4 linked regions of the Alligator mississippiensis genome follow. The protein of the gene in region 4 binds, or shares a complex with, the protein of the main gene of each other region. Links are inferred from orthologs where the notes say so. Each region holds a gene or a part of one and is shown on either strand. Other genes may lie near its edges.

Region 1 (7,653 bases), on a different chromosome or scaffold from region 4:
AAAACTCAGCGTTTTACTTTAAACCACACTGTGTGCCCTTGCACCAAGCCCAGTGCATGCCCTGAATAGGCATGGTGCAACTGAACACCCAGCTTTGTGGTAGAGGGGGCGGGACGCATCTCCCCTGTGGGCCTGCACACATGGGCGGTCAGAAGTCGGGGGCTGTCCAGGCAGGCACAAGGGCCCCCGGGGACAGGGAGGCCCCCAAAGCTACAACCGAGGGCAGGAATGCGGCCCGTCCCGGCTCTGGGGCACCAGCGCGCCGCCCCTGCCTTTGTGCTAGGCGGGCGGGGCCGGAGCCCGGGCACGGGGCTGGCTCCTGGCCGGCGGCGGGGGGGCCGGGGGCGCGCGCGGGCTTACCCAGGCCGAGGAGCCGCTGCGTGAGCCCCGCGCCGCGGATGGCGCCGGGGCCGTGCTCCACGCCGCGCCGCTTCTGCAACACAAAGACATCGGGGAGCCGTGAGCGCGGGGCCGCACGTGGCTGCGCCCCGTTCCCACCGCCCGGCCCGGCCCCGCCGGCTCACCTGGCCCCGGGACAAGGGGGCGCCGACCAGCGCCACTGAGTGCCCGGGCTTCGGCACCTGCAGCGCCGCGTCCGCCTGCTTGCGGAGGAGCCGCGCGAAGCCGCTGCGCAGGGACATGCCGGAGGAGGACGCAACGGGAGCGATACTGACGCTGATGCTGATGCCGCTACTACTGCAGCCGCGCTGCGCCTTTTAATCCGCGCCGCTTCCCCGCTCCCGGCCGGCGCCGGCAGCCGCGCCCCGCCCCGCCCCGCCCCGCCCAATGGCAGCGCCGCCGCCCGGGGTGTGTCCGCCCCCACCCCGCACGGGCCCGACCCCAACCGAGTCGCCTTCCCTGCAGCGGGGGCTGCGCCGCCCCCCCGGGACACACGTGCGCACACGTACCCATACGCACATTTATCCACATGCACACATCCTCCCCCCTTTGCCCGCGCCCCCGGACAGCAGGGCTGCCCCCCCCAATCCTCCTCCTCCGGCACAGCGCGGGGACAATGGGAAGGCCTCCCTTTCTGGCGGGCCCAGCACAGCCGCGGCCCCCAGCGCTTCACCCGAGGGCTTCCCCCTCTCTCCGGTCAGCACCCACCTGAGACCGACGCCCCCCGGGATGGCTTGCGCTTGCCTTTCTTCTGTGGAAAGGATATGGCTCAAGGCATTGTGCTCTCTGTTTGAAGAGCTGAATGGCTGGTTGGTCGCGGTCACCCCCACCCGCCTCTTCCTCACTTCAGACAGCTGAGGTCTTAAGAGTGCCTTTGAGCAAGGTGGTTTACCCCGCTTTTCCGGGTGAGCAGGAGCTGGGCAGGCCTGCCCATTCACAGGATAGTTTACTCCAAACTAATCTTGCCTTGCAGACAAGCTTTGGTGCAGGAAGAATTCATTCGTTCATTTTGGCTAAGATCAAAGGGGGGGGGGGCATGTGAACCCCAAGGCCTCAATGCCAGGGGATTGCAGGTACGATGCCCCTGGTGAAGCCCCAGGCAGATGGGTCTGGGAAGGAGGATACTTGCAGGGTGGTAGAGCCACACACACTTAACAAGTGAACTCTGCTTGGTCAAATTTTGGAACTTCGCCCAATTGAATTTGGAACTGATTTGGCCTTGAATAAGATAAAAAAATAAATCCCCCCTTCATTATCTTTTACACATTATGTTTTACACACACACACACACACACACACACACACTCTCTCTGTCTCTCTCTCTCATACTTACCCTGACTTTCTAATACCTTCCCTTCCCAGTTGATTTCCCATCTGTCCGCCTCCTCACAAGCGCACTGCTACATTTTCTCAGACTCTTCACTGTTCAAATCCAGTAGCTTTATGGAAAAAGACTCACTACAGATACAAATTATAGAGACCCATATGGGGTTTAGGCAAATCAGGTGTTACCCAGAAATAGGGTGTTGCCTCTCTTCCTTCCCATTAAAACTATATCTAAACATAAAGAAGTATTTTTTTGTCTTTTCACTATCATCATCCAACATTTCCCCATTCCTCTCTTTTCCCTTCCTTCTTACTGTGTTCTTGTTTGTTTTCATCTCTCCCCCTACCACCCTCCTAGTATCCCCTATTTATGTCTTTTCCTCCCCCATTACTGGTTCCCCTCTATCCCTAGGACATCATTTTTTCTTCATCTCTTGCAACTCCCACCTTACTCTCCCCTTTCAAAATTTGCTACTTTGGTTCCCTTTTATTTCTCTCTCTACTTGAATTTCTTCCCCAAAGCTGCCCCTTTTTCCTTTTACTCACTTTAATTTTCTCTACTTGTTTCTTTCCATTTCTCTCCCCATGATTATTTTCTTTCCTCAGTTTATCCTGCATGCCCTCCCCTCTCTTCTAAATTTCTGTTCCATCTTCTCAGCAGTTACCTGTATTATCCAGTCCAAGCCATAGTCTTCAGCTAGTGCCACCCTTCACCTGCTGCCATGCCCAGAGCTGTCTTGGCACTGATACTTCAGTGCCCCCCCCCCCCCCCCCCCGCACCCTTCTGTTCCACTCCCATTGTTGTTGCATCAGCAGACATTCCTAGACAAAGGTTCTTCAGGCTTTGGGACACAATCAGGCTGATCACAGTGATAAGTATTCCTGCTGGGGGCACCATGTTCTGTAATGAAAAATCAGCAGAGACATGTTCTAACCCAACGGAAAGGGTGATGTAAGGCAGGGGTCTACACAAAGTATATTACAGTATTGGGGCCAGTTTTCCTTTGCATAGGGACCCCTGGACAAACACAACAGCAGCAATAGTGGGATTCTTTGTAGGATATTTTACTCTCACATTGACAGCAAAATCAAGTGGATCTGTACAGGAGTGAGGAGGCTGTTCCGACACACTGTAATTCCAGCACATCAGAGCATGGCAAGTACCAAGCTCCAACAGCCTCCAGCGTCTTGGGTATCAGCATCCCTGTGCTTGAAAATGGTGGTGGGCTTTAGTTCAAGTTCCCCTGCTGCCATTTTTAACTGCAGAGACGCTGATACACGAGACGCAGCAGTGCTTTCATTAGAATGGCTTTTTAGTCTAGGACACTGAGGGTCAACTTTTTTGGCAGGCATGCCACAAATTAAACTCTGAGTGCCACTCCAATCCCCTTCCCCTGCCCAATCTTCTTTTTGTACTCTGCTCTGTGCTCCCTGCCTAATATGCTGCCCTCTCTGACACTGTGCTGCCTGTTCCCTCAGCAGTCTGCTGCATACCGCTCACAGAGGCTCCCTGTGCCACCTGTACTGCAGGTTGGCCACCCCGATGTAGAAAAAGATTTTCCCAGAATCTTACGCTGGAGTGAATGTGTTTGCTTTAGAATTGACTTCCTAGAGCAGCGGTTCTCAACCTTTTTAGAGTTGTGGCACCCTGCAGAAAATGCCAAGTCAGTTTTGGTTTTTTGACTACAGAAAAACAAGAGAGCAATTTTTCAGCTGCAAAAAAAATTAGGAAGACCACAACAGGACAGAAAGTTTTTAATGCTATGGATTCCTATAGGAAATCTCTGGGTTTATCCTGTGAATCATGTTTGCACACAGTGATGTTGGCACTGCATGGATCCCCCACAGCACCTTTGAAAGGATTTCACAAAATCAGAGAAGTCAGGCTGGAAGGGACCTCCAGAGGTCATCTAGACCAGGGGGTCCCAGGGGGTATGCAAAACATCTCTGGGGGGTATGCAGGAGAAATTGTGTAATGGCAGATTTAATGTTCATTATATCAATCAAGACTTGTGGTAGAACCAACTAGATTTTGTTAAAAAAAATTCTTTAATTGCAAGCTTTCAGGCACAAACACCATGCATCAGGCATGGGAGAAAAGATTGCAAAAGGTCTCCTTTTGCGTGGACAGCACCTGTGCACAAGCAGAAGATGGTGTGTGGCAGCACTCTGTCCCCACCCACCCGCATGTACCTCCTAGGGGTACACGTACCCCTGGTTGACAACCCCTGCCCTAATTTCCTACAGGTAAAGCAGGGGAACCAGGCAACCAAATGTCCTGGTTCTAGGAAATGTCAATATATGCTGGAGTTCCCTGTACAGGGCTGCCCCCCCCACCCACAGAGGACAGGCAAATCCTGACTCCCCCTCCCAATCCTACTAATCTGATCACAGGCTAAAATTCCTTCCTAACCCCAAATATAGCAACACGTCTGACTCTGAGCAAGGAGGCAAGACCCTCCAGGCAGGGGACCTCCAGCTTTGGTCCCAGGAGGAGCACTGGCACAGCTGTCCTGCAGCCCTCAGGAGAGGGTATTTACCCCTTCTCTCCTAGCCTGCGCTTGGCAAAATCAAGTGCAAGGTTCCAGAGGTACCATTTGGGTTGGTCTAATAAAAGATATAAAATTCACTCAAGGAACCTTGTCAGCCTAGGTTCCAGAGACTCACGTGAGCCTTGCACGGAACCCTAAGAGCTTTGCTGCCTCGACCACGTGTAGAGCCCCCCCCCAGCACTAAGTATTTTCAACTGGGGTCAATGCGAATGGATCCCGCGCCCAGAGGCTGCAGCTACCCTGCCACACGAGCTCCACGTGGTGCCTCTGTCCTCCGAACCCACGTGCGTCACTCTGGGGGCGGGGCTCCGCCGCCGCAACGTCCCAAGGCGGGGGGCGGAGTCAAGGCCGCGCGGAATTCCGCAGGCTCCCGGAAGTGCCTTACCATAGAGCTGCGGGGCGGGCGCAGCTAGAGTGGCGGGCCGTTCTGGGCGGTGGGAGGCCTCGGCATGGAGGAGCGGGGGGACCGGACCGCGCTGCAGTGCCGCCAGTACAGCGCCTCCTGCCGCGAGTTCTCGGTGCGGTGCCAGCCCGTGCAGCTCCGCTCGCTCAGCGCCGCCACCTGCTCCGTGTGGCTGGCGGCGTACTGGCTCTTCGTGCTCACCCAGGTACGGCGACCCTTGGGCGTGGCAGTATCCCAGCTTCCCAAGCACGTGAGGCCAACAGGGCGGCATGCTACGGGGGCCTGAGCACCTCGCAGGTCAGACCTCAGGTGTGTTGTGGGGGAGGGGAGGGGACAGGTAACCAGGACCTGAGCAAAGCTCTGATGCAAGAAGCTCCTTCAAAGTGAACGTGGCTTTCTTCTTGTGCTGAGAAAATCGTGGGTCCCTAAGAAAACTAGGCCACTGGCTTCCAATCTGTGGTATGGATACCACCAGTGGCACACGGGCAACCTGTTGGTGGTACGCGTTAACAGATTTATTGTCATTACTTTATATGACAAAAATGTGCTGGTAGTACTTAAAGTTGTATCGTTTTAAATTGGCAGCGTGCAATTTGTCAGTGTTTGGGAACTGCTGCTGCAGGCCCCTTCAATCCGGGAGGCTGCTCGTGACCCTAACAGCTGAATGCGGGGGGCAAATAGAAAGAAAACGGGGAAGGGAGGGAGGTCACGGGTTAATAAGGGATCTAGAAGGGGACGTGGAGCACAGCATGATGGCTAGTGCCTGCTGCCCCCTGAATGAGTCGAGGGAGCGTGTGGATGCAGACTGGTGAAACCCTGCCCAGAGATGGGAGCGGAGGGGTGATAAGAAGACAGCCCCATGCCTGTCTGGGTTCCTCTACCCCGGCCTGGTCTGGTAGCTGGTCAGATTGGCCAGAACTGGAGGAGATTGATTGAGAGGTCCCAGGGCTTGGTGGTGCCACGGCTGAGCAGTGCGTAACAGAAAAGGTGAGGGGAGAAATGCAGCCAGAACCTCAGCAGGAGGTTTTGGAGGAGGCAGAATAGGGCCTGGTGCACTCAAGGTAGGTATATGCCAGGGTCCCCCTCTGCTGAGAGAAGGGGCAGGTGTCGTGGGTGTCCTTGAAATGTGCCAGGTGCACCCTTGGCAACATCTCTGTGGAAGAGCTGCTAACTGAGGCTGTCAGAAGTGGGCCTGTTTGATGTGCCGAAAGATCACTGGCATAAGCCCACCACGAATACTGTATGTCTGCCTTAATAAGGGAGGCCACTGGGGATACATCAGTTAAATACAGGGGGACAAATTAAGAGAAAACAGGAAAGGAAGTGAGGTCATAGGTTAGTAACAAGGGGACACAAAGTAGAGCACACTGGCCAGTATCTGCTGCCCCCTGAATGAGTCAAGGAAGCCTGTAGACATTGACCAGTGAAATTCTGCCTGCAAATGTGAGTGGAGAGAGAGGGAGACAGTGCCACACTTGCCCAGGTTCCTCCCCACTAGCCAGAGGGTCTTTCCTGGTCTGGGAGATGGCCATGCAAAGTGAATAAGGAGTCACTGGCCTTACTGGAGAGCTGAGAGACTGTCACCCTTTGGGCAAGATGGGCTGTTACCGTGAGCCTGGTCAGGCCCATGAAAACAAGATGCACAGCTCTCTGCTGACTGTGAGACTGCACCAGGTACCAGTCATGTTCTGGATGGCACGTGCAACAGCCCAACCTGCCTTGAGATTTTCTTTTGTAGTTTATAAGCTCCTTCAGGGCAGAGAACATGTATCTTCACTGAGGGGTGTTTAGACATTCTTGTGAGTCCAGAAAACACACAGTGGAGGAGAACAGGGTATGTTTGAAGTCCTACAGGAACAATTTCTTGGGGCAGATGAGTAATGGCTAAGATTCATCCTTAGATATTTATAAGAAAGAATGGCATTGCACTAGCAGCATCTTTTACCTAATTAGGGTGCACAGGTGAGTCAACAGCACCTGGTAGTCAAAGATTTCAAAGGCTTGTTAACAGATCTAAAGGAACTAGCATAACTGTCTGGTCTTTGCCCATTGCTAGGAGGTGATGAACAACCAGTGAGATAAATGTAATCTCTGTACTGTATAGCCAAGCCAAAACCTGACTGAGGCGGCCTAGGGACTATATCTGATGCTAGATGTGCCTCAAAACAACTTTCTCTACAATCTTTCTGAGAAAGGGAAAGATAAGAGTGAAAATTAGCAAGATTGCTCTTGTCAAAAATGGTTTACTGAAGAAGGACTAACAACTGCTTGTTGGAGAAAAAATGGGAACTCTTTTTGAAAAAGAATCCAGTCTCAGCTAGCAGTCACCCCCAGCATGTTTCAGCTTGATTTTTTTTTTACAACCCTCAATAATTTTGTTCTTCCACCTTTCTCCTAGTGCAATGCATGATCTGTATCTGCCCACAAGCCTTTTCCCAACAGAGCAGCTTGAGGAATAATGTTGGGCTCATTCATCTTGGGCAGTGTCATAAAGTGAGGCAGGACCAACATGGTTTTCACTTCTTAGTGAAATAATCAACATTTCTTAACTCAAACCTAGCAGTGTTCTCTATAAAAAAACAAAACAAACAAACAACCCCCCCCCCAAAAAAAACTGGTTCCAGGAGATAGGGTGATGGTCTGCAGATAAACCATGGGAGAAAGGAAGCATCATAACCCAAATAGTGCAGTGGCATTTGAGGCAGAAAGAGATTAAGGTTGAGCAACATCACCCATACTGGTTTTAGCAGAGTTATAATCCAGTTGAGCTCTGGGTTACCAATCCTGTGCTTTAGCCAAAACCCATACAAAACTCTGCTCTGTGTCTCTGTTTTCCCCATCTGTAACAGAGGGTTAATGATACTTGCATCACATTACTGTCTTATTGCATACTGATAGGAAAGCTTCATCAAAATCTATTTATATGATGTGCTGTCTTGGATGTTATAACCCAATGTTTTAGGAAGAGTTTAT
Region 2 (7,635 bases), on a different chromosome or scaffold from region 4:
ACTAACTTAATGTACCTTACAGGCACACATCTACATGTGCACCTCCTTAATGTTAATTAAAAATGGCGAAATTAGACTAATCACACCTAAATTTGATACCTGCAAATGCAGATATCAAATTTAAGTGCAATTAGTTAAAGGACATTAACACACATGTAAACACTTGTCAACCATTACCACCAAAAGAAGCTCTGTGAGATTAAAAAGTTCCCAGGTTTAGGGAACTCCATGAGATTAAAAAGTTCCATCAATGATCCCACTGGCTAGAGCAGTAAGGGCCAACATTTTTGGCAGAGAAATTAGCCCTGCACCCCAAGTGTCACTACAATCTCCTTCCCCTGCCCAGTCTGCTGCTCTGCTTTCAGCTCCCTGCCCGATCTGCCATGTGTCACATACAGAGACTGTCCATGCCACCTGTGCTGCAGGCTGGCCATCCCTGAGCTAGAAAATGTGTACATCTGGCTGGCAAAGCTCAGCTAGGGGTCCAAGACCTCAGGTTGCAAATTCCAAACTTTCAGGAAGTGATAGTGATGTTATTATGTGATATTGCTCCTTGGCTGAATACTGGAGAAAATGCAGTTCTTTCTCTCCCATCTAAGCTCAATGGCATCTGTGTCTCTTGCCCTAAGCCCCCATGTGAAGTCTGTGGTGATACCCTTGAGGTGCCTCATTTAATGTTCTCAAGACTGGCTTGGGAGCTACTTGGTGTCTCTGTTTTTTGGGGGGTTTTTTGCTTCTTTATGATGGATAAGAAAATCTGGAATTTCTTTTCTTTCCAGGAGAAGATCAACACACTTATTTTATTTTAATCATTACCAATTCAGATTCAGAAGACTCTGTGGATGACTGGAGACTTCTCAGGACTAAACCGTCACAAGAAACAACTGCAATGTGAGCAAATAGGGATTGTGGAGAGGGACGAAATATTTTAAGCTGTTTCAAAATCTTTGGGGTCTGGCTTCTCTCTTTTATCGGCATGATCTGAATGCCTGACAAACCACTGACAGGAAACACCTCTTGGGAAAGATTCAACAGTTTTGCTCCTTCTACCATACTCAGAACACTTCTACATAGTGCTGTGGGCCTCCATCAAACAAAAAAGAAAGAAAGCAGAACTTGACATCTTTAATGTCTCCGAGGCAAAAGAACCAAGCAGGGGGAAAAAATCTACAACTCATTCTCAGAAAACTCCCCAGGTACTTTCTTCTTCATAAATTACAAAAAGAAGCATGGGTATATATATTTTTTCCCTGGTTAGCATTTGCCTTTAATGCTTCCTTGAAAATGCAGCAACTTTCCTTCTTTTCTCACCAAAAATCAAACTGGAGCATCCCAAGACAGGCAGTTACTGAACACCAGTGACCTGGCTTTCAGATCTGCTGATGAGCTGCTATAACGATCACCTGGAAAACATTCTATGGGCAAACTCTAGCCTCAGGCCTAAATATGTAGTGGTGTTTGAAATCAGGATTAAGTTCCCAAATTTCATAGCTGGATGTCTAATATCAAACTTCCACAGTGCATCCCAAATACCCAAGTCAGTGGCTGAGGTTTCTGAGCCTGATGGAAAAGCTCTTTATACTTGGAAAGTACTGGCAAATGCTAGAGACAACAGGCACCAAATGGGAGCATGTCCTAAGATTAAGTGTCCTCTGCTGGAGTGAGTAAATGTATTTGCTGAATTTTGGTCTAGGGTCTGACCCAGCTAGGAAACCAAGAGCATTCACTTCATCAGAGGCCTGAATCATGAAGATGGCAGCCAAAACCAAGTTTTGCAGTATCTGAGAGCATTGGAGATAGAGAAGCAATGGGAGCTAATGCCCGCCCTGCACTCAAATCTCTCCTTTCTCTGCAGTTGTTTTCTCTTTTTTTTCTTTCTGTGCCCAAACCTGCAGCTATAGCAGAAATGGAGATGAACTTTCTTAAAGCTCAGTGGGTCACAGTCCTGGAAGATGTGCAGCTGTTGCTGCTCGGAGGAAAAATGGCTCAGCTCCTTAACATAACCCTTCAGAGTTGCTGCTATAGCTGCCCATTGGCCTTGCCTGGGAAAGAGAGCTCCTCTGCTTGTTCCCATGATGCCTCAGACATATGAATTACCTGCCTGATTGTTCCCTGTTAGTATGCAGTCAAACACCAGGCTTGTTTAGTGGGGATAAAGGCTGCTACTGTTTGAGCCCTTTCATGCTGTTTTCCCATCACCCAGGGTCCCTTCGTTTTGTACTGAATGTCGTAGAATCACAGAAATAGAACAGTAGGAAATTAGGGTTGGAAGGGACCTCAGGTCATCTAGTCCAACCCCCTGCTCAAAGCTGGACCCCTTAAGAGAGAAAAAGCCCACGTGCCATTTGGGACCAGAACTTTGTGTCATCTTGCAAGGTCCCTTCCAGCCCCTTACAATCTATGAATCTATAATCTGCCCAGAACAAGCATTCAACTGCAGAAACTGATGTTTCCTTTGGTGTTACTAAAAGACAATCAGTCTGTCTCAAGCTCTGGAATTATGAGCTCCATGTCATAAGGCAAGGCTGTCCAACATCTAGGCAGCCAAGGGCCACACGCCTGTGGGCTGCACCAGAGGGGGCCACATTCTTCACTGGTGCTCGCTTCTGCATGGATGCCTCTGCTGCCTCAGACGCCCAGGTGCCCTAGCCTCACTCCCAGTTCCCCTGCTGCAGGCTCCCCCACTGCACCACCCCATGAGGGTGCACAAGGCCATGGGCTTCTCCAGCATGGCACCCTGTGCCACACTGCACCATATGGCTCCCTAGGGTGACAGCAGGAAGTAGAAGCCAGAGGAGGAAGAGGAACCTGGAGCAATGGAGGGGAGAGACGGTTGGGTGGGAGCCTGGGACCACCAGCTGGACAGCCCTGCTGCAAGGGAACTGGGGTCATAGAATCGTAAGACTGGAATAGACCACAAGAGGTTGTCTAATCCAACTGCTTACTCAAAGTAGGATCAGTTGATCTAAGGCAACATAAACAAATGCTGGTGTAACTTGCACGTAACAACTTCTAGTGATGGGGACCCCACAACCTCTGGAGGGGCTGTAGCCCAACCTCCAGTGCTAAACCACCCACTGAGTTTGGAAGGTCCTTCCTGGTAACTAGCCTAATGCTGTAATGTAAGTGAGTCTGTTACTGTTGCTGTCTACAGACATCACCTCATAAAGAAGAGTCTTTTACGTGGACAGTGGCTGAGACCTAGTGGCCTCCTGAGTGTACTACAGCTGGGGACCCCAGCTCAAGTGGGGGGTTACTCACAGATGGAGATTCATAGATTTTTCAGGCCAGAAGAGGCCATTGTCACCATCCTGTCTGATCTCCTGCGTAGCACTCTTTCCCCAGCAATTCCTGTCCTTCTCCGTGACAATCCCCAGCCTCTTGTGTTTACTTTTCCTATATCTCCCAGACAATACTTATTACAGGAGCTTTGTCCCTTGCTTCAGAGGATGATAAAAGTGGTGATCTTCCCTACTGCGGTGCTGTGAGCATGGGCAGCGTACTTGACCCTTTAGAAGCTGAACAGCTTGCGTGTGGCAACAACGACCCTATGGAGACAAGCCCCCTGAGTGACCCATCTCCCAGCTCAGCCTCACCAAGAACAGCACTTGCTGAGTGCAGCCCTCCTCATCCAGGAGGTGGGAGGTCAAAGAGACCACACACCTACTGCCTGCCCAACAGGAAGCACTCTCTGAGCAGATTTTCTCCTGTCCAGGCAGGGATGATCAAGACAGGATTATCCCCATCTAATGCATTTCATCTAAGTATTTGGCTAAACTGCTCTTAAAATCTTCCAAGAATGGGGATTCCACAACCTCCTAAGTAACCTCTCCAAAAGGTCATCGATGTTTGGGCTTTGGAGATGGAAGAGACCCACTTGGCTACAGTTCTCTTCAGTGTTACTACCTGGGTTGTTTAGCTTGTTCACTAAGAAGTATGGCTCAACAGGCCATCCCGTGTCTCTCCCAACAGTGCTAGACTGCCCTCTACAGTACATGAGTGTTATAAAGTATACTAAAGCTAACTCATCTGGCCTGGTTTTCATCAGCTGGACTGAGCTGTAAATAGGCACTTGGTCTCTCAGGCTGGGGAGACAAACGCAGCTAGACATGACACTGGGCACATTACTGCCTCATGTACCACTGGCTTCAGGCACCCATGAGCTTTAAGCCTGCTCATCCCATGAACTGCTTAGTTTGGGCAGACTTAACCTTTGCCAGCTGGAACATATCACACTAGGGCTGTGGACAAACCCCAGTAACAATTCCTCCTTGGCAAGAGGCCATGTCAGGAAACCCAAAGCATACAGCAGGGGTTGTGCTGTTACCTTTTGCTTCTTCCAAGGTTTACAGCGTTGCCTGCAGAGAGAGGCCATCGCACAGCTCATCCTTCTCTGGTGAGCGAGCAATAGCGGGTGTAACAGAGAGCCTGGGGCTCCCTGTTACTTCAAGGTAAAGGCAGCCCAGCCAGGGAACTCTGCAAGCTGGTTGCCAGGGCAAAAGGCTACTGGGCTATCAGCAAGCACCTGCGGGGGTCAGCGGACTGGATGCAGGCAGGGCCTGAGGAGCTTATAAGCCCAAGGCTGAGGCTGGCTGCAGGGAGTCTCTCTCTGGCTGCCACAGGGGAAGGAGCCCCTGCCCAGGAGAGACACCCAGGGGTGCTGGCCTGACCATTTGCTGCCTACAGGACCAGGGAGGCTCGGGGAACTTGAGAGGTACCCTGGCAGGGAGGCAGGCTGTGGCAGGTAAAGGTTTTCCCTCTTAAAGGGACAGAGGGCTGCTACTTTGTTATTATTTTGTTATAGCTTATGTTATGTTGTTGTTACCCTGGTGGTTTGGGAGGAGGCTGGAAGCGGCATGGAGGACTCATTAGTGTCCAGGGGGCACTTGACTGTCTTGTGCTCTGCCAGTGGCAGGCTCAAGGCTCAAGCAGTTATTGAGCCCAGGGCAGGCAGGGAGAGGAGACACAGCCAGACGGCGGCCGGGGGCCCAGCAGGCAGAAGCCAGGGGCCCAGTGACTGGAAGGGACAGATGTAAGCTAGTGCCTTAAACCAGGTCTGTCACAGTGGGCCCAGGCTAAAAGGCCTATCTAGATTAAAGGGGTCCCCACACAGGGGGGCTGAAACCCCACACAGGGAACAATGTTTCTGTAATACCTATGAGACATGGGGTGTGGTCAAGGGGAGGATTTTGAGCCATGCAATTAGCCTTTAAGGCAGGGATGGGGAACCTCTGGGCCGCCGGTTGGCTGGGGACTCCATTTCCCAGCGCCCTGCCCACATGGCTTGTGCCAGCCTCCATGGAGACCTCAGCTGCGCCAGCAGCGTGCACAGCAGAGCAGCACAGGGGGCTGCTCCAGAGCTGCTGGGAACATGGGACAGGAAGCTGGGGGGTGCTAAAACAGCCTTCCTGTCCATCCTGCAATGCTGAGCTGAGGGGGACGTGGCCAGGCCCTGGCAGGACACTTTGATTAGGAAGGGGTTTCCCCCCCCACCTCTGACCAGCCCAGCAGGGAATTGATAACACAGTGTTTATCACCCCTAACTCAGTGTTTATCAGCCTGTTAAGAAAACAACAGAGGGACATTACCAGCTACCTGTTGATTCTGCCTTTGTCCTGTCTGCCACAGCATGGACCGTAGCCAGCATGTGGCGTGCTAGCTAATGCTGAGAGGAGTCTGTGTAAGGCAGAGGGGACGGGGGGGGGGGGAGCAGGGAGAAGCTAGGCAGATGCTCTCTGCCAAGCTCCAGCCAGGGAGCAGAGGGGAGGGGCCCACTCTGCTGTGGAGCAGAGAGCTCCACCCAGCTCAGAGAGCATGCCAGGATGCTGGGGGAGTCTGGTTTAACTTAAACTAGCAAGGGGTCTGGGACAGACATTGAATAAACTGGTTTGACTCAAATCAGTTTAGTCTGATACTACATTCAACCAGGTTTATCTCAAACCAGTTTCAGCCATTTTCAAACTGGTTTATGTGCACTGAACGTCTGTTCTGTTACAGGTTTAAACCAGTTTCTGATCACTTAAACTGGTTTATGTGTAATGTCTGTCCCTAGCCTATGAGAAACTGAAGTCTCACCAGAAGTGGGCACAGGCTGGGCTTGCCCACTTACAGCCAGACTCTGTTAGACGTGTGGAACCCCACTCTCCCAATGGGAGTTGGGTCAATATATCAGAGGCAGCATTTTGCCCCTACTTAGCATTTCTCTGTGCAAGGAATTATTTATGTCTGCAGTTCACAGGTAGCACTGGGCCTTCTCCAGTTCATTTTCAAGCTCAAGTAAAGTACTAGTGGGATCTGTGTCTGAAGAGAGAACCAAAGTCTGCCTCTCCATCTTTCACCCTGACAGCCAAGGCCAGCCACAGACATGAGACCAGAATGTCTTTGACCTAGAAGCACAGCTTTGTTAGCAGGGGCACAGTATTCACTTTATCCCAGGGTGACTTACTGTAGATACAGTAAGTGCTGTGTGTCCTCTCTATAGTTAATTTTCCCCAAGGTACCCATTACTTCATGCAGATCAGCTCTCTTGCCACCTACTAGCTAGGTGCTGTAATAGCACATATTGCCAGCCTGGTCATGGGTCTTCTTTTTAATGGAGTAAATGTACTATAGGGTAAGATGTAAAGTAGATGACTTTATAGTGTCAACAGTTCACACCCTAAGGAAGCAGTGAAAAGGCAAAAGCATCTCAGTGCCTGGGAACCATAACTTTCGGTTACTTCCCTGAGCAAGCAGAGTCTGCCAAGGGTCACTTCCAGCACATAACTATTCCTTGAAAGACAATAACAGGTCCTTAGGGGGGACAGTAAAAATGCTTTGTCCTATATCAAGAACCCATTGCCAGGACTCTGTCTACACAACATCTGCAAAGGAGATTGACGCTTACATCCAACAGAAATCCTACCTTCACAGAGTTTGGCTCTGTGACCAGCCACCCTCCTTGCTGAGCTGGGAAGCAGTGCCTGGAGCGTGGCCAGTAGTTATAACAGGAAGCTGGGAAGAAAAAAGAATGTGTCATCCCCAGTTCTTGCAGCCCTGCCTAATAGCTCTCACTATGCACTCACAGCTGTGCAGACTGAAACCTTGCCTCACTTCACTGACTGAAAGGTAGTGATTGGATTTTACTCCATGATGGTACAAGTCATTTTCATGGGAGTCCACCTCTCCCCACCCCTAGGTGGGAGGCTCCAGGGTCTATCCAGTTAACTCTCAGCCTAGACAGCATTACCAACTGTGCCCTAAATATAGCTCTGGGAATCCTACCACCTCGAACCAGAAAGACAGATAGATCCATTCTCTAACCCTACGCCTAGCTCAAGCTGTCCCCATTAGTCCCCACCTGAGCAGCCTGACCTCGGGTACTAATTTGGAGAGGCCCAAAATATGATTGCTAAGCTGAGATGAGAGATCCCTATCTGCCGTATGCTCCACTGGAGCAAGAGACACCTTCCCGGCCAGTCTCCTGACTTCAATGCTGTGAGCCCACCCACCCCCAACCCCAGGGCTGGGGGTCCCATGGTCTATCCCGCTAACTCTGAGCCTGGACTGCATTACCTACTGGTGTCCTAAACATAGCTCTGGGATGGTTACAAACAGGGCTCAGTATAATTAGGTTGGACCATATTTTAATAAATT
Region 3 (6,111 bases), on a different chromosome or scaffold from region 4:
CCTACCAAGGGACTGTGTTTGCTCACCAGTAGACCTACACAGATCTGTAATGAGCAGTGTTAGATTAATTGTTTTGGAAAACGAGTGACTGATCCCAAAGTAAAGGGGACATGAACTGACTCTAAAGAGAGACTGAGTTGTTTCTGGGGTCTTTGAGCCCAGTCTAAGGCCATCCCCTGGATGTGGGTGCATATCGGGTTAAGACTATGGTCATCAGAGGACTATGCATTAGAGAGTCGGAGAGCATAATACCAAGCCAAAGAGAAGCTTTGAGTTTCACCTGGAGTGGCTAGGATGGGGTAAAGGGGAGGTTTGGAGCCCTACAGAAGAAGACAGAATTCAAGACCTGAAGGATCATCTCAGGGTATTGCCTCCTATTAACAGTACCAACAAAGCTGTGGCAGGCGAGAAAAGTAAGATCAGTCTCCTGGCAGACCAGGTGATCCGAGATAAAGGTCCATCCTGTCACCGCCGGTGGGTAAATGAAATCTTGGCAGTGGCAGTAAGCCCTACAATATCTACAGTTGTCACACTGTCCTACCCCAGGGCACAGGAGGCAATTCCACCAACAGAGCCAGAGGACCCCAACTCCTGCCTGAGTCTCCATCTCTCAGCACATGGGTTCCCAGGCTTCTGTCTGGCTGACCTCAATTTAGATTCAGCCATATCTACAACAGTACATTTACCAGGCTCCAGAGCCACATCCTCAGGCAGGCTGCACTGCTCCAGGTGGCCACATTTGCTGAGTATTTCAGGCTAACTAATTAGTACTGTTAAGCGATGTTGCCAATTCACTTGCTATTCCCTAACTAGCCTGCCTGTGGCACTGAACAGATGCAGCTATAGTGTTTCCAGTCTAGGGAACAAGCTGTTCAGAGCAGCACAGCATGCTTGAGGGGCACTTTGGAGCACAGGAAGTCACTGCTTAGACTGAACCTGGTGGAGTACTGATACCTGCATTAATTAACTTGGTAATGTTTTACGCCCACGTGCAAATGTGTACACAAGGAACAAGCCTGCACTGTGGCTTGCTGTGCAAATTCCTGCTTAAAGGATAAGCAGGATTCTGATTTTGTTTCCAAAGCTGTTGGATCTTTCTGGAGGAGAAGAACAGGTTGGAGACACTGGCCATTCCAGAAAACTAAAGAAACATTACTGTAAATGCCTACAAAGTTAACCTTAAATATTACTTTATAAATGGTGTGATGCCATCTATTGGAAACTACAGGTACTAGCACATTTTAATTTGATGTACTAAATACTCAGCATTTTAAATTGGTCTGTTATATATTATACTGTGCCATGACCATGTGAGTTGTATTTTTTTTACTCTACTGCACAAAACTTTGTACTCCTAGAATGTGAGTTGCTGAATACAGTTAGACCTCCTTCTTGTTGTTATGGGAATAAGAATAACTCACTTGTTCTTTTGGTAGTGTCAGAGCGATATTGTAGTCATGAAGGTACAGAAATGATAAAACTATAAAAATGTATAAGCTGGCTGGACACTAAGAACCAAGGACTAAACATTGATATCAGACTTATGGCACATAATATTTTATCATTAAAGATGAATTAGGAAATCTTACAGAAGACTGATAGTGTGTGTAGCAGTCACATAAGCCAAAAAGTCTAAAAGAATGCAAGGATATTTCCTCACAGACGTCTTTAATACATTCAGGTAGCATCTCTCCCTATACTATGCATACCTTTCCCTATTCAGTCCATCTTGATGTGACTAATGGTCCTGGATTTTTTGAGACAGTCCTAAGTTTCAGGACTATGCTCTGGCATCCCCTGTGATTCCCTGAACTGGGACTTTCATCTCAAATATGAAAAAAATTGTCCTGGACTGAGGCCAGGCAGCATCCTAATCAAAACCAGCATTTGCAAACTGCACAATTGCACATACTCCCAAAACACATTCACTGCTGCCAGTTTCACAGATGTTAACAGCCACCTGTGCTGCTTCAGGGACCCTGGCCCAGATTTCACTCCTTCAAAGTTAGTTGCTTTAATTTCTCTCAGTCATGATCTATGTGCATCACTTCTAGAGTGTTTTTTATTCTACCCCCCCCTCCTCCTATATTTCCCAACTCCAGCTGGACACTGACCAAGAAACATTCAAGCAATTGCTGGATCAGGGGGCATAGGTTGACCCTGTTCCAGGAGTCCTGCAAGTATTTATGACACAGGGTTGGCCAGGAGGGAGTTAGGAACTTACGATGAATATCAAAACTGCAGGAATAGTCTCCAGCCCCTCAGAAGCCTGCCATGCCCTTGAGCATGCATCACACAAGCAGGCCTGCTTGGGAACTTTTCAGCTGCGGTTTTCCCTGGAGACATTCAGATCCTGGCCCCAGCCACGCTGCAGGAATAGCATAGAATTATAGAGAAGTCAGGCTGGATGGCGCTTTCCAACTCCCTAGTCCAGTGGTTTTCAACTTTTTTTTGTTTGAGGACCCCTAAAACAATTTGAATGAAAATGCAGACCCCTTTGGACATTTCAAATGATGGTGAGGACCCCTTTAAATTGTAAGTGTGGCTATTCACATACTTTTGATTGATCAGTCATCTTTCACGGACCCATCAGACATAGTCTGTGGACCACAGGTTGAAAACCACTGCCTAATCTAACCATCTAGTCCAATCCCCTGCCTGAGACAAGAACCATTCTATCCCCTGCCCTATCCAAACCATTCTATACAAATCCATAACCTAAACTCTTTGTAAAACTACCATCAACCCTGACACAACACAAGACATAACACAATAACCTGCCGTGGATAAAAAAGGGGGATCATGGCAGCCAATGTCCTGCTTCTATAAAAGGTTGTTAATATACACTCAAGAGATTCCAGATAGAGCCCCCCACCCCCCAGGGGTACAAAGGAAGGCAACCCCCCCACAGTCAGTACCAGTCTGAGCATGGGGTAAAATTCCGTCCTGCCCCCAACTAAGGTGATCAGTCTGAGGGGCATGACTCTTTAGCCAGGAACCTCCAGCTTTAAGTTCCTGCAGGAGTACTGGCACACCTCAAAGTCCCCAGTCTTGGCTGCAGCCAGTAACCAATGCCTCTGAGAAAGACTTAAAAAAACCCGGCCCTCACATGTAGCAGAAAGGGAGTGGGGGAGGTCACAGGGAATTCCCTCCTACCCCATGTGGCAACCAGCAAAGCCCAGAAGCATGAACATAGTAGAACATACAATAGAACATAGTATAGACAGTCACTGAGAAGGAGATGGGCTCCACCTAGTCAAGGTTCATTTATGCTCAACCTTTCTGCCCCATGGTCCAGATGGGCTGGGCTTGGTTTGTCCATGGGCTGGATCTGGATGGTGGACCCGATCCAGTGGGAGAAGTAGGTCCTGGCCACATGGAAGGGAACAAGGGGGGCATCATTGCCATGATCCAGCCATGCAGGATGAGGGAGCATAACCCAGCCCTGATCTGGCCACATGGGTCTCCAGAACTTGGCATGGGAGAGGGGTTGCAATGTTAATTGCCACTGCGCCCTCACCACCAACCTCCCTGACCCTTGTGGAGCTGTATGGGCTGGATGCCATGACTCCATGGGCCACATTCAGCCGACTGGCTAGGAGCCGAGCACCCCAATCTAGTGCAATTCCCAACCAAGGGGCCACGAGCTCCTTTTGAGGGTGGTGTGTGGGACCTTGCCATGCCAGCACTAAGAGGCATTCAAGCACCATTCATGAGATAAACCCAGGGATGTCAAATAGGTATCTGCCACTGTGGCCTCCCGAGCTCTTGACTACAGGAAAAAACCCAACCCTCCTCTTATTTTTCTGTAGGCATAAGAAGAGAGCTGCGATTTTCCAAGGTGATCCAAAAAAAGACTGAGCCCCACTGATCGAACCCTGCTGCCTCCAGCACAGTGCCCCAGGGGCTGGGAGTGGGTGCTTCTTAATGTGAGGAATGCTGACATCAGAAAATACCAGTATGTGGGTAGCTTCCCAACTAACACGGGAGCATGACCTTTTGCATATGCAAAATCCATCCCGTCTGGACGTGAAAGCAGCTGCTTGTGCCTCTGCTCCCCGCCGCGAACGCTTCAACTCCGACATTCCTGACTTCACACCTTTATTCACTGGGAATCAAAGGGAAAACATGACCGAAGCCGCCGGACTCAAAAGTCCAGGCCAGCACCGTGCAGACTCAGGGCAGGGCCTTCCTCCGTAAACACCTGTAGGTCTCGTTTCAAAGCCGCTCTGAAACAGAACTGCAGAGCTGGGCCCTTGGCGGGAGAGAGCCGGGCCCTGTCAGCCTGCAGCCCGGAACACCTCAGGGAGAGACACAGAGAGAACACCCCCCCCCCCGCCAAGCCCAGGTACCAGATGAAGTGAACGGGCGCGGGTGGTGGGGGTGTACACACGGCCCCTCCCCCCGGAACCCAAGCGCGGGGCGGTGCGCGGGCGGAGCGGGTTCCCAGCGCGCAGGAAGTGGCGCGAGCAGGCGGGCGGAAGTCGCTGCGCGTGGGACGATGCTGGGCCGGGCTGCGGCGCTGCGCAGGGGGTTGCAGGTGGCGGCGGGCGGGACGCGTGGGCCGGACAGCGGCCGGGGCTCTGCGCAGCCCGCCAGGCTGGACCCCGCGCTGCTGGGGCTGCTCGTGTGCCCGCTGTCCAAGCGCCCGCTCCGGTACGCACTTGTGTGAACCCACGCACACACATATGCACACAGGTGTGCAGGGACTCTCCTCCTTGAATCCGCAGCCCTGACCTGTTCGTTTTTCACGCAGGTATGAAGAATCCACCAACGAGCTGATCAACGAGGAGCTGGGCATTGCCTACCCGGTGGTGGACGGCATCCCTAACATGATACCGCAGGTGGCGAGGAAGATAGAGGCCGAGCCCCCTCACCCCACTGGCGAGGAGTCAAAGCAAAGCTAGATAGTGCTGTCCCAGAGAGCAAAGCTAGAGACTGAGAGGCTCATGTGTGAGCAGTAGTCATGTTCCTGTCACTGCCTACACTGACAGTGCTTGTCCCGCTGCTGTCCTTGGTTGGCTTGTTTTATTCGGCCACCATGGATGAAAACTTCCCACAGGGCTGCACCAGCACCAGCAGCTTATGTTTCTACAGTCTGCTGCTTCCTGTTACGATCCCCGTGTACGTGTTCTTCCACCTGTGGACCTGGATGGGCATTAAACTTTTTAGACACAACTAAGGCAGGCAGACAGCCCGAGGGCACTGCCCAGTGAGCTCATCAATCACAGGGCCTCTGTGCTAGTTGTGTAGCTTATCTTAGCTGTACACTAATATTATATTCCATGTAACTGGGATAGTCTCTTCCTCCCTTGCTCTCTCTCAATAATGATGACCTTTATCACCCTCTTCCTGGCACTTCACAATGATCTACAGAGGACTTTGTGTATGACTGCTTAATTTCTGCCAGGAAAGATAATTAAGTACATTTGTCCTTGCCCCTCAAAATCCAGAGGTGCACTGTAGTAGTGTGAAAGCATATTACAGTGGGTGTTTGTCTTTGCCCTGAATGACTCCATCTACTGACTGAGATACAGTTTAATTACTTACTCAGGTTGTTAATAATAAACAGTAATGTGGGCTGCTCTTTAAAGATGGCAGTGTCTGTCTTTAGGTGCGTTGCTAGGTTGAACAGATTTATTCATGAAATGCTTCTGGCACTGTGCTATGAAAATGCAGTGTAATCAAAACACTGTGCAACAGCAAACTTGTCTGTGCAAAGATTTTTTTAAATCCATGTGAGCTTTAGACTTGTTAGGATCACTGCAGCCATGTTTTGAGGGTAGTCATCCATGCACATCCAACACAGCACACCTTTTTAGAAAAAAAACCAAGGTGGGGTATCCATGTCACTCTAATATGATTTCCTTCTAGATCAGCAGGTCTGGCACAATTATTCAGGCAAGAAGTGCCATGAAATAGTAGTTTGGCAGCTGCTTTAATTTATTCCAACTGGCAGTGGCCTGTAACAGCTGACAATAAGGCAATAGGCTCAAAAATGCCTTCTAACACTCCCCCTTGCTAGCTTTACATTGACTGAGGAGATGCAGTACTGAGAACAAGTCAGGATTGGGACGCTGACCCACTGAAGTACCCACTGCTCTAGGCAAA
Region 4 (7,525 bases):
AGATGCAGCCAGAGAGCCTGGGTGAGCTCCGTGCAACCCTCCTAGTGCTATGACTACCATTAGCACAAAACAAGGTTTGCTGCACCCACTACAGGCAAGTAAGAAGAGAATCTGTCCCTAGCTACCAGCCTTGGTCCACAATCTCTTGGTTTTTCACATAATAGATCTGATTTGTAAACTCTAAAATAAACACTTGAAGGACAAAAAATAAAGCAACAGAGCAAGAGGTGTTGCCAGAGGCAGAGATCCAATGGAGCCAGGCAGCCAGCTATTTGTTCTGCTCACTAGTGCTGCCTTCTCCCCTTAACACAGGGCAAGTGGAGGCTGCACAGAGCTCCCCGACTGCAGAGTCCCGAGCTGTCAGCTGTCCTGGTCAGCCCGAGCTGTCAGTCTGTCCTGGTCAGCCCGAGCTGAGGTAGTTTCACTAAAGCCGAGGCTCTGGTCCCTGTCTGGATGTGTATGATATTCAGCCAGTTTCTCTTTCATTTGATCAAATGGCTGGATGTGCTCTGCAAGGTAGGAAGTGCCAAGAGCATGGTGAGGCCCAGCATCCAGGCTATAACACAAAGAGTCTTTGGTTGCGGGAGGAAATGGCCACCTGTTACTGCAGGTCAAAGTCTTGGCCCCATCAAGACACTGCAGGTAGGAACCTGCGCCCATTCCCATGCCCACTGTCTTCAGTTCAATTTCTTGGCAGGTTTCTTGTTCTTCCACATCACAATCACTATGAAAGTCCCTGAGAGAGAGAAAGAAAAAATGTGAAGAAAATGGCCAAAAACCCTATAAGTACTACAGCTTTCTAAACACCATTGCTATGCGGAACAGAACCACTTCACAGGATGAGACCAGGGCAGCTCCACTGTGCAGGAGCTCACAGCTGGAGTAGGCAGGGCTGTAAGAGAGGTCACGTGGCAATTGCTTCCAAGTAGCTGGGCCAACAGTGACCAACCAGCTTCTATAACAGATTTCTGATCCCAAAACAGAAGAGAAATGTTACTCACCTATGAACAGCAGCAGCAGGAGCCCTGCAACCACAGGAATGGTAACAGAATATTCCCTGGGCAAGAAGTATTTGTGAATCCCGTGATTGCTATCAATGAAGGGCTGCAAGAAACAAAGAGGGGCATCAGCAAGCTGGGGCAATATGCAGCTACTTGCCAGCACTCAGACATTCCTGCTTGTAGGGACAGAAGTACAAGCCTTAAGACTGACAGTTAACAATGATGCTGATGGATAGAGAATAGAGCCAAGGGGCCACGAACTCACCCCTCCAAAGCTTGTCTTGATTTCTGACTAGCTGCCTGGCACTGAACAACCTGCTCAACCTGGTGAGCGTCTCCCATGCTTCACTGGGCAAAACAGAGACAATATTTGCCTTGTTTTAGACACAAGGCAAAGATCATCTTTCACAGAACTTAGAACAGACTGAGCGTTACAGAGCAGCACGTGGGCTGACAGCAAGGCATAGGGACAATGAAAAAAACCCAACCATACTGAGTTTGCAGCCGCAGAACAACGAGCTGAGAGGATGTCAGAAGTGAGCACCATTCACAGCACGGCCAGGAGCTGTCAGGGATCCACATGCCAAGCAAACTGAAGCAAGTCTCCAGACTGGCCTTGCAGGCTCAAAGAGACGCTTCCTCACCAGAGATGTGGGTTTTCCACAAAATTTTGAATTGGAAAATTTTCTGGAAATTTTTCCAATGCCCTAAATAGAGCGTGATCTGATTTAACACGTTTATTTGATGTATATCAGTAAGCAAAACTAAAAAAACACCCCATGTTAATTTTATGTCTCGACAGCCACAAGTATTTTAACTGGAATATTTAATTAAAAAAAAATTAACTACAACACACTTAATGTGATTTAAATGTTACATTCAAACAAATTCAAAGCAGAGCTTTGATGTGGAAAAAAAATTACTTTTATTGGCATACTTGTAAAAATGTAAAGGCAATATACAACAGCACGTACTTCCCTTACATTGTTTAAATTTAAGAAAAGACAGTGGAGGCACTGAAAAATGTTGACACACTAATTTTAGCACACCCAAAAACTGTGCATGAGATGCCATGACTTGGTTTAGATTTGACCTGCACAGCCAATCAGGTGAATTCATAACTTGATTTCTGGATTGGAGGATTATGTGAGTGTATTTACACATCAATAAAACATATGTACTCTCTCTCACACTTCCTAGGGATAATCACCCGAAACACGCGAATGACAACTTTGACACTGCCGAGCTTGCCTAACAGGGCATTGGCATCCCTTCGTTGTTACTAACGAATTTTAGGAAACGATGAATTTTTAGAAATGGAAAATTTCCCACGGAAAAATAAAGCGCTGGACAGTTTTCCACCCCACGATGCTCCTCGCCCAATTCCCTACGCGTCTGTGAGGCTTTCCAGGACTGCGATCGGCTCAGTCGCTGCTCACTCGACCCAGGAAACGGGGGACCCCAGAAGCGCGCGGCGATGGGAGCGCGGCCCCTATCTGAAGCCCCCGAGCCGGCCGGGGGCTATTTGGAGCTGCCAGCGACGGCCAAGGCGGGCGCCTGTGGCAGCTCTTGCTTCCCCCTGACTAGGAAGCCCAACGCGGGGTGAGGCGGTGACCCCTCGGCCCCTCCAGCGCTGCCAGCTCGTGCCCCGCGCCCCCCACGCGCGGGGGGGGGGGGGGGGGACAGGCAAGGCCCGGGGCAGCCCCTCCCGCCGGGCCCGTACCAGCGCCACGATCCAGATCGTGTAGTAGGTGAAGAGCGCGAGGCTGAAGGCCACCAGCCCGAAGCCCACCAGCCGGTCCGTCGCCGTGGCCTGTGGGCGGGAGAGTAGAGGCGGTCAGAGCGGGCCCGCCCCGAGCCCCGACCCCCCTCCCTGGCCTGGCCCGGCCCGGCCCGGCCCGGCCCGGCCGCCCTCACCATGGCCACGCGCTGCGCCGACCCCCCTACCACCGCCCCGCCCACTTCCGGGAGCCGCTGCCCAATCCACGGCCGGGATTTCGGCCCCGGAGCACGACGGGAGCTGACCCCAGCCGCATTGCACCACGGGAGACATCATCCGCGAGCCTTTCCTTTCCCCGGGGCATGACGGGAGGCGCCCGTCCCCTCTTTCGCAAAGCTTCATGGGAGCCGTAGTCCCGCCTGGCGCGGGGCCTGATGGGAGATGTAGTCCCCAGGCTTAACCCCTTGGCTGCCATGGGGGGTAGGGAGCTGTCCTGCTGCAAGCGAGGGCCGCTGGCAGGTGGCAGCGATGCAGGGAGTGCAGCCAGCTCGGCACCTGCACCCTGGGTGGCCCTGCCTGGAAAACCTTTTAGTATCGGGCCCCAATTTGCCAGAGAGCATGAGAATAATAATTGCACAAAGGAAAAAATATTCCCCTTTCTGTAATTTGCCTATGCCCGTGTCCAGCCCTTCGCAGGACGGAGCCTCGTGAGCCGGCCAGGCTGGAGCTCCGCTAGCCCAACCCGTGCACCCGCAGAGGGTGGGGTTCAGCCCTGGGGCGGCTCCGTGGGCGCAAAGGGGACCCTACAACCCAGCCCCGCGCTCCTTGTTCCCCTCTGCCCTCCTCCCACCAGGTCAGGCCCAGCAGAGCCACAGCCCCCAGCCATGCGCCTCCCCGCTCTCGTCTCCCGTTTCCCCGAGCAGGATGGGCTAAGCCCACGTGCTGCCCCTGGGCTGCTGCTTGTTCAGTGGGGCGAGCGGGGGTATCCAGGTGAGCCTCTGCCCCTGCCTTGTGGAGAAGGGGACGGCCAAGGAGCCTCCAAGGAAGGTCCTGGTGCACAGGGGGCAGGAGGTCTTGGCCTTGTTCAGAGCCCATCAGCTTCACTGGCATGATCCAGTGATGGCCATGTGTTGAATAGTCAAGCAAGGAGGAAGCCCAGCTGCTCGGGAGCCAAACTGAGCTCAGCCACAGTGAAGGGAGCAGAAAACACCCATTCAGAGACAGTCAACAAAGCCAGAGGTTTGTTACAGCCAACAGGCAGGAGCGGGGCTGCGTCCCGCTGGAGAGGTTTCTCAGGAACCCCAGTGCAGACCTATTTGCAGAAGCGACTTGCAGAGGTGAAAATCAGTGGGGCTTGGCATCCTTAATCACTTAGGTGCTTTTGAAAATGTTCCCTCGATCTGTTCACAACATACACGTAAAATCCTCCAACGTGGCTGGGGGGAGCGGGGGTAGGGCAGCATGCAGGAAATTTGAGAAAGAATTTGTGACGCAGGCAGGAGCCGAGCAGTTCTGGAAAGAATCCGGCTCCACCCTGCCCAGCCCTCCGTTTCCTCTTGCAGGGCCCCTAGCTCCCACGGTAAAGCCACCCACTATGTTGGCCATGGCTGACGAGAACAACAAACTCAATTACAGCAATGCTACACACGTTCTCACTGTTACTTATTACGGTAAGGAGATGCTGTGCTGGGGGCAGAGTGTCTACGTCAGGAAGCTTGCCACCCTGATCACACTGCATGAGATAAAACACTGGAATTCCCCAGCTGAAGACTTTAAATCTGGAATAAGCCTGTCCATCAGGGTAGGATGTGGCAATTATCCTGGCAGTGGATGCCCCTGCATGGCCAAGGTGGAAGACAGAGCGTCTCAAGGGGCTGGTTCACCTTGGGGTCTGCAGAGCCAGGGAAATGCTCCGGTTTGGAGCTCTGCCCCTAGGAGCCATGCAGGGCTATACTTGCGTTTTCCTGCAGGACAATGGGGGTGGTCACGTCTTGGGGCTCCTGCCCTTCCCCTTGGATCTCCCAGTTCTTCAGTCTTGGCTCTTTTTAGCTTTTGGGTCTGTGCTTACCAGTGCAGAGGCAGGTTCTGCACACACATAGACAGACTGCTGTACACAGTTCAAAGGCACATCAGGGTCACCCAACCCCTGTGGGGGCCAAGGAGCATAAAGCAAAGGATCACCACATTTGGGGGTAGGGATGCAGGGGCAGAGACCAATTCAGGGCTATGAGGGAGGCTTTTAGGGCCTCCAAGGCATTGGAAGCTGCTCCGGGATTCCTCTGGGACGTGCTGGGGTGGGACTGGGACAGGTTCTTGTGTGGGGGCAGCAGCCACTCTCCCTAGGTGGTGCTAACACTCCCCCTGGTCTGTCTCCAGCCCAGCCCAGCAGCCCCTCAAAGACTCTGGCTCATTTCAACTGCAGATCCTTGCATTTTGCCTCTTGCATCTCCAACCATGCCAGCCCACACAAACTGGTGATTTTTATTCAGAGCCCCTGTGCCTGCCCCAGCAGCTGCCAGGCCAAGGACATGGGTCCTGCCCAGGTCATAGCAGACCTGCTCAGTGCAGCTGTAGCCCTCTACCTTCTGTCCTCTAAGCCGGAACTTTAGCCCCAACCTCCACGAAGGTACAGCAGAAGCCACATTCTCTGGGGAACAATAGAAGCACTTTCCCTTCGCTCATAAGATCTGCTTAGATCCAGAGCAGTCTGTGATTCACTTTCTGCTGGCATCTGGGTGGGAAATGATGAGATGACCCAGGGAGCTGGCCAGTCTTGGGCAAGGCATGTCTGTATGGGGATTTTCCATATTGCAAATGGTTGGAGTGAGCCAAGAGACCCAGCTGCAGACTGGGAGGCCTGGACCGTAGTCCACTTAGATTCAGTTACACACAAGAAAGCTACAGAAAAAGCAGCACATGAGACGTGCAAGGGCAAGCACTCAGGACCTGGGAAATGGGGCACTTTGAGCAAGCCATCTTCATTGCCCCTGGACACTCACCTTAAGTTCTGAGATCACGCATCGCTTCTCCCCAGAGTCCTGGCCTGGCTGTGCACACGGCCTGGCCTGGCTGGTGCTCACTGCACAAGGAGTTGGGCAGTACTTTGCTTTCCTTTTCACCAAAGCATCTCTGGCCACAGGCTTCTATGCCCTCCTCCCCATGCACAGGGTTGCCAGGATCCCCATCACCCCTGAGCAGCGGCTCCAATGCAGGTCCTGCAACACCATTACTGGCTGGATGGCAAAACCCAGCCAGATTCCAGCTCACCCAGCAGGCAGCAGAGTCTGAAAAGAGGTTCCCCCTTCAGCAAGGCTGGGGCAGCTCAGCTGTTAGACCAAAACGCCTAGTTTCCCTTGCTGTGGTTCACAGGTGGCTGGGGCAGATTTCGCCAGCTCCATACTTTACACTTACACCTCTGGAATTGCTTATGGGGCTGGTGCTGCAGACAGAGCACCGACATCCAGGGGATGCTCCAGCTGGGATGCTCCAGGTGGTGGCATTAGACCCAGGGGTAAGGAATTGCTCAGGGTACCAGGCAGGGGAATAAAACCACAGCAGATGGTGGAAAACACCAGAGTGCAAGAGTCCTGACAAAACACGGCACCGTGTGCGAGTGGCCACAGGTCAGGTGTGAATGTCTCTATTCCATCCCCTCCCCATATGTAAGCCAAGGGGACAGCATAGGATAAGAAGCCAGCAGCCAGCCCTGCACCCCATCTACCCCTGCCCCACCTGTGGCCCATATCATGCTTAGAAGCTCTTCGGAGTAGGAACCATCTTTCTGTTTAGCTTTTGCCCCTGGTCCTGGCTAGGGTTTCTAGGTGCCACCCCAGTGCCAGCAACAGAGATCTGATGTACATAGTTACGGCCAAAGGCTCCAGAGTTCAGGGTGTGGGGGAGAAGTGTTTCAGCTTCCCATCAGTCAGTACTAAACATTTGTCTTTCTGCGAGCAGCAGCAACAATGGGACCTGTGGAAAGAGATGCTCCCTAGTTTGGTAGCACCAATCTGCTCTCCACTTATTTTCTAACCCTCAAAGAGGCAGGACCAAGGCCTGAATTCTCATGGGACTGCCTGTGGTTTTGCTCATCCCTCCCTCAAGGGCACATGAGTGAGAAAACAAGCCTCCCACTTCCTAAGAAGTTGTTGTTTCCCACCAAAGTGCCACAAGTTTTAGAGAAAGGGTTAAGGTCAGCTCACTGGAAGGAAACCGCATGGAAAGCATGAACTCCAGAGGAGCTCAGATGCAGAGACTTATTTAGCGGGTTTTGATGATTGCAAGAACCATGCAAGAAGATAGAGCCCTGCTTCAAAAGCACTGTCACCCAAGACCGGCCACCTCCTACACAGCAGACAGGAGCAGACTCTGGGAGTTGGGCCTTCATCCCTGCCCCAGGCTACCTGAGCCTTCACATCACTGCAGACAGGCCCAAGACTTGCCCAAGCTGGCTCCTCAAATGCAGCCTTGAAATGCTTGAACAAAACGTTGATGTAGAAAAAGCTGAGAAAGCAGGCAGGAGCCTCACAGCACCCTTTGTGGGGACACCTATGCTTTGAATTCCTGCAGATGTGTCTGCAACTGGCCACATCAATGGCAGGGACTTGGTTAAACCTTGACAAGTGTCCAGGCTTGGGCTGCAGCTTGAATTTAAGCTGCTGAACAAACCTAAGCAACAGCTGGAGGCAGTTCAGCTAACATCATCAGCCCTTAGCAGCAGCCCTGAAGAATACAGTTACATTTAGCTGATCAGTATTAACCCCTAGGGCCATTAGGTAACTTTATTAGTAGCATGCAAATTTCCTAC

What was found.
Region 1: DPM2 (region 4) and PIGH share a complex: the UniProt entries of both Homo sapiens proteins name them as parts of the glycosylphosphatidylinositol-N-acetylglucosaminyltransferase (GPI-GnT) complex. The link is inferred for Alligator mississippiensis from reciprocal best matches to the Homo sapiens genes DPM2 and PIGH.
Region 2: DPM2 (region 4) and PIGC share a complex: the UniProt entries of both Homo sapiens proteins name them as parts of the glycosylphosphatidylinositol-N-acetylglucosaminyltransferase (GPI-GnT) complex. The link is inferred for Alligator mississippiensis from reciprocal best matches to the Homo sapiens genes DPM2 and PIGC.
Region 3: DPM2 (region 4) and PIGY share a complex: the UniProt entries of both Homo sapiens proteins name them as parts of the glycosylphosphatidylinositol-N-acetylglucosaminyltransferase (GPI-GnT) complex. The link is inferred for Alligator mississippiensis from reciprocal best matches to the Homo sapiens genes DPM2 and PIGY.

The regions. Positions count from the first base shown.
Region 1 is NC_081825.1:230,815,456-230,823,108, forward strand, and holds the start of PIGH (phosphatidylinositol N-acetylglucosaminyltransferase subunit H), read left to right. Parts: upstream 1-4,643; 5' UTR 4,644-4,726; coding exon 4,727-4,885; intron 4,886-7,653. Other genes in the region: ARG2 (arginase-2, mitochondrial), read right to left, coding at 361-433, 525-641. UniProt on the Homo sapiens protein: Part of the glycosylphosphatidylinositol-N-acetylglucosaminyltransferase (GPI-GnT) complex that catalyzes the transfer of N-acetylglucosamine from UDP-N-acetylglucosamine to phosphatidylinositol and participates in the first step of GPI biosynthesis.
Region 2 is NC_081828.1:44,547,277-44,554,911, forward strand, and holds the start of PIGC (phosphatidylinositol N-acetylglucosaminyltransferase subunit C), read left to right. Parts: upstream 1-4,627; 5' UTR 4,628-4,744; intron 4,745-7,635. UniProt on the Homo sapiens protein: Part of the glycosylphosphatidylinositol-N-acetylglucosaminyltransferase (GPI-GnT) complex that catalyzes the transfer of N-acetylglucosamine from UDP-N-acetylglucosamine to phosphatidylinositol and participates in the first step of GPI biosynthesis.
Region 3 is NC_081825.1:151,545,332-151,551,442, reverse strand, and holds PIGY (phosphatidylinositol N-acetylglucosaminyltransferase subunit Y), read left to right. Parts: upstream 1-4,907; 5' UTR 4,908-4,966; coding exon 4,967-5,182; 3' UTR 5,183-5,593; downstream 5,594-6,111. Other genes in the region: PYURF (protein preY, mitochondrial), read left to right, coding at 4,502-4,656, 4,757-4,907. UniProt on the Homo sapiens protein: Part of the glycosylphosphatidylinositol-N-acetylglucosaminyltransferase (GPI-GnT) complex that catalyzes the transfer of N-acetylglucosamine from UDP-N-acetylglucosamine to phosphatidylinositol and participates in the first step of GPI biosynthesis.
Region 4 is NC_081835.1:57,214,429-57,221,953, reverse strand, and holds the start of DPM2 (dolichol phosphate-mannose biosynthesis regulatory protein), read right to left. Parts: upstream 3,021-7,525; 5' UTR 2,922-3,020; coding exon 2,919-2,921; intron 2,815-2,918; coding exon 2,725-2,814; intron 1,105-2,724; coding exon 1,002-1,104; intron 737-1,001; coding exon 678-736; 3' UTR 1-677. UniProt on the Homo sapiens protein: Regulates the biosynthesis of dolichol phosphate-mannose. Regulatory subunit of the dolichol-phosphate mannose (DPM) synthase complex; essential for the ER localization and stable expression of DPM1.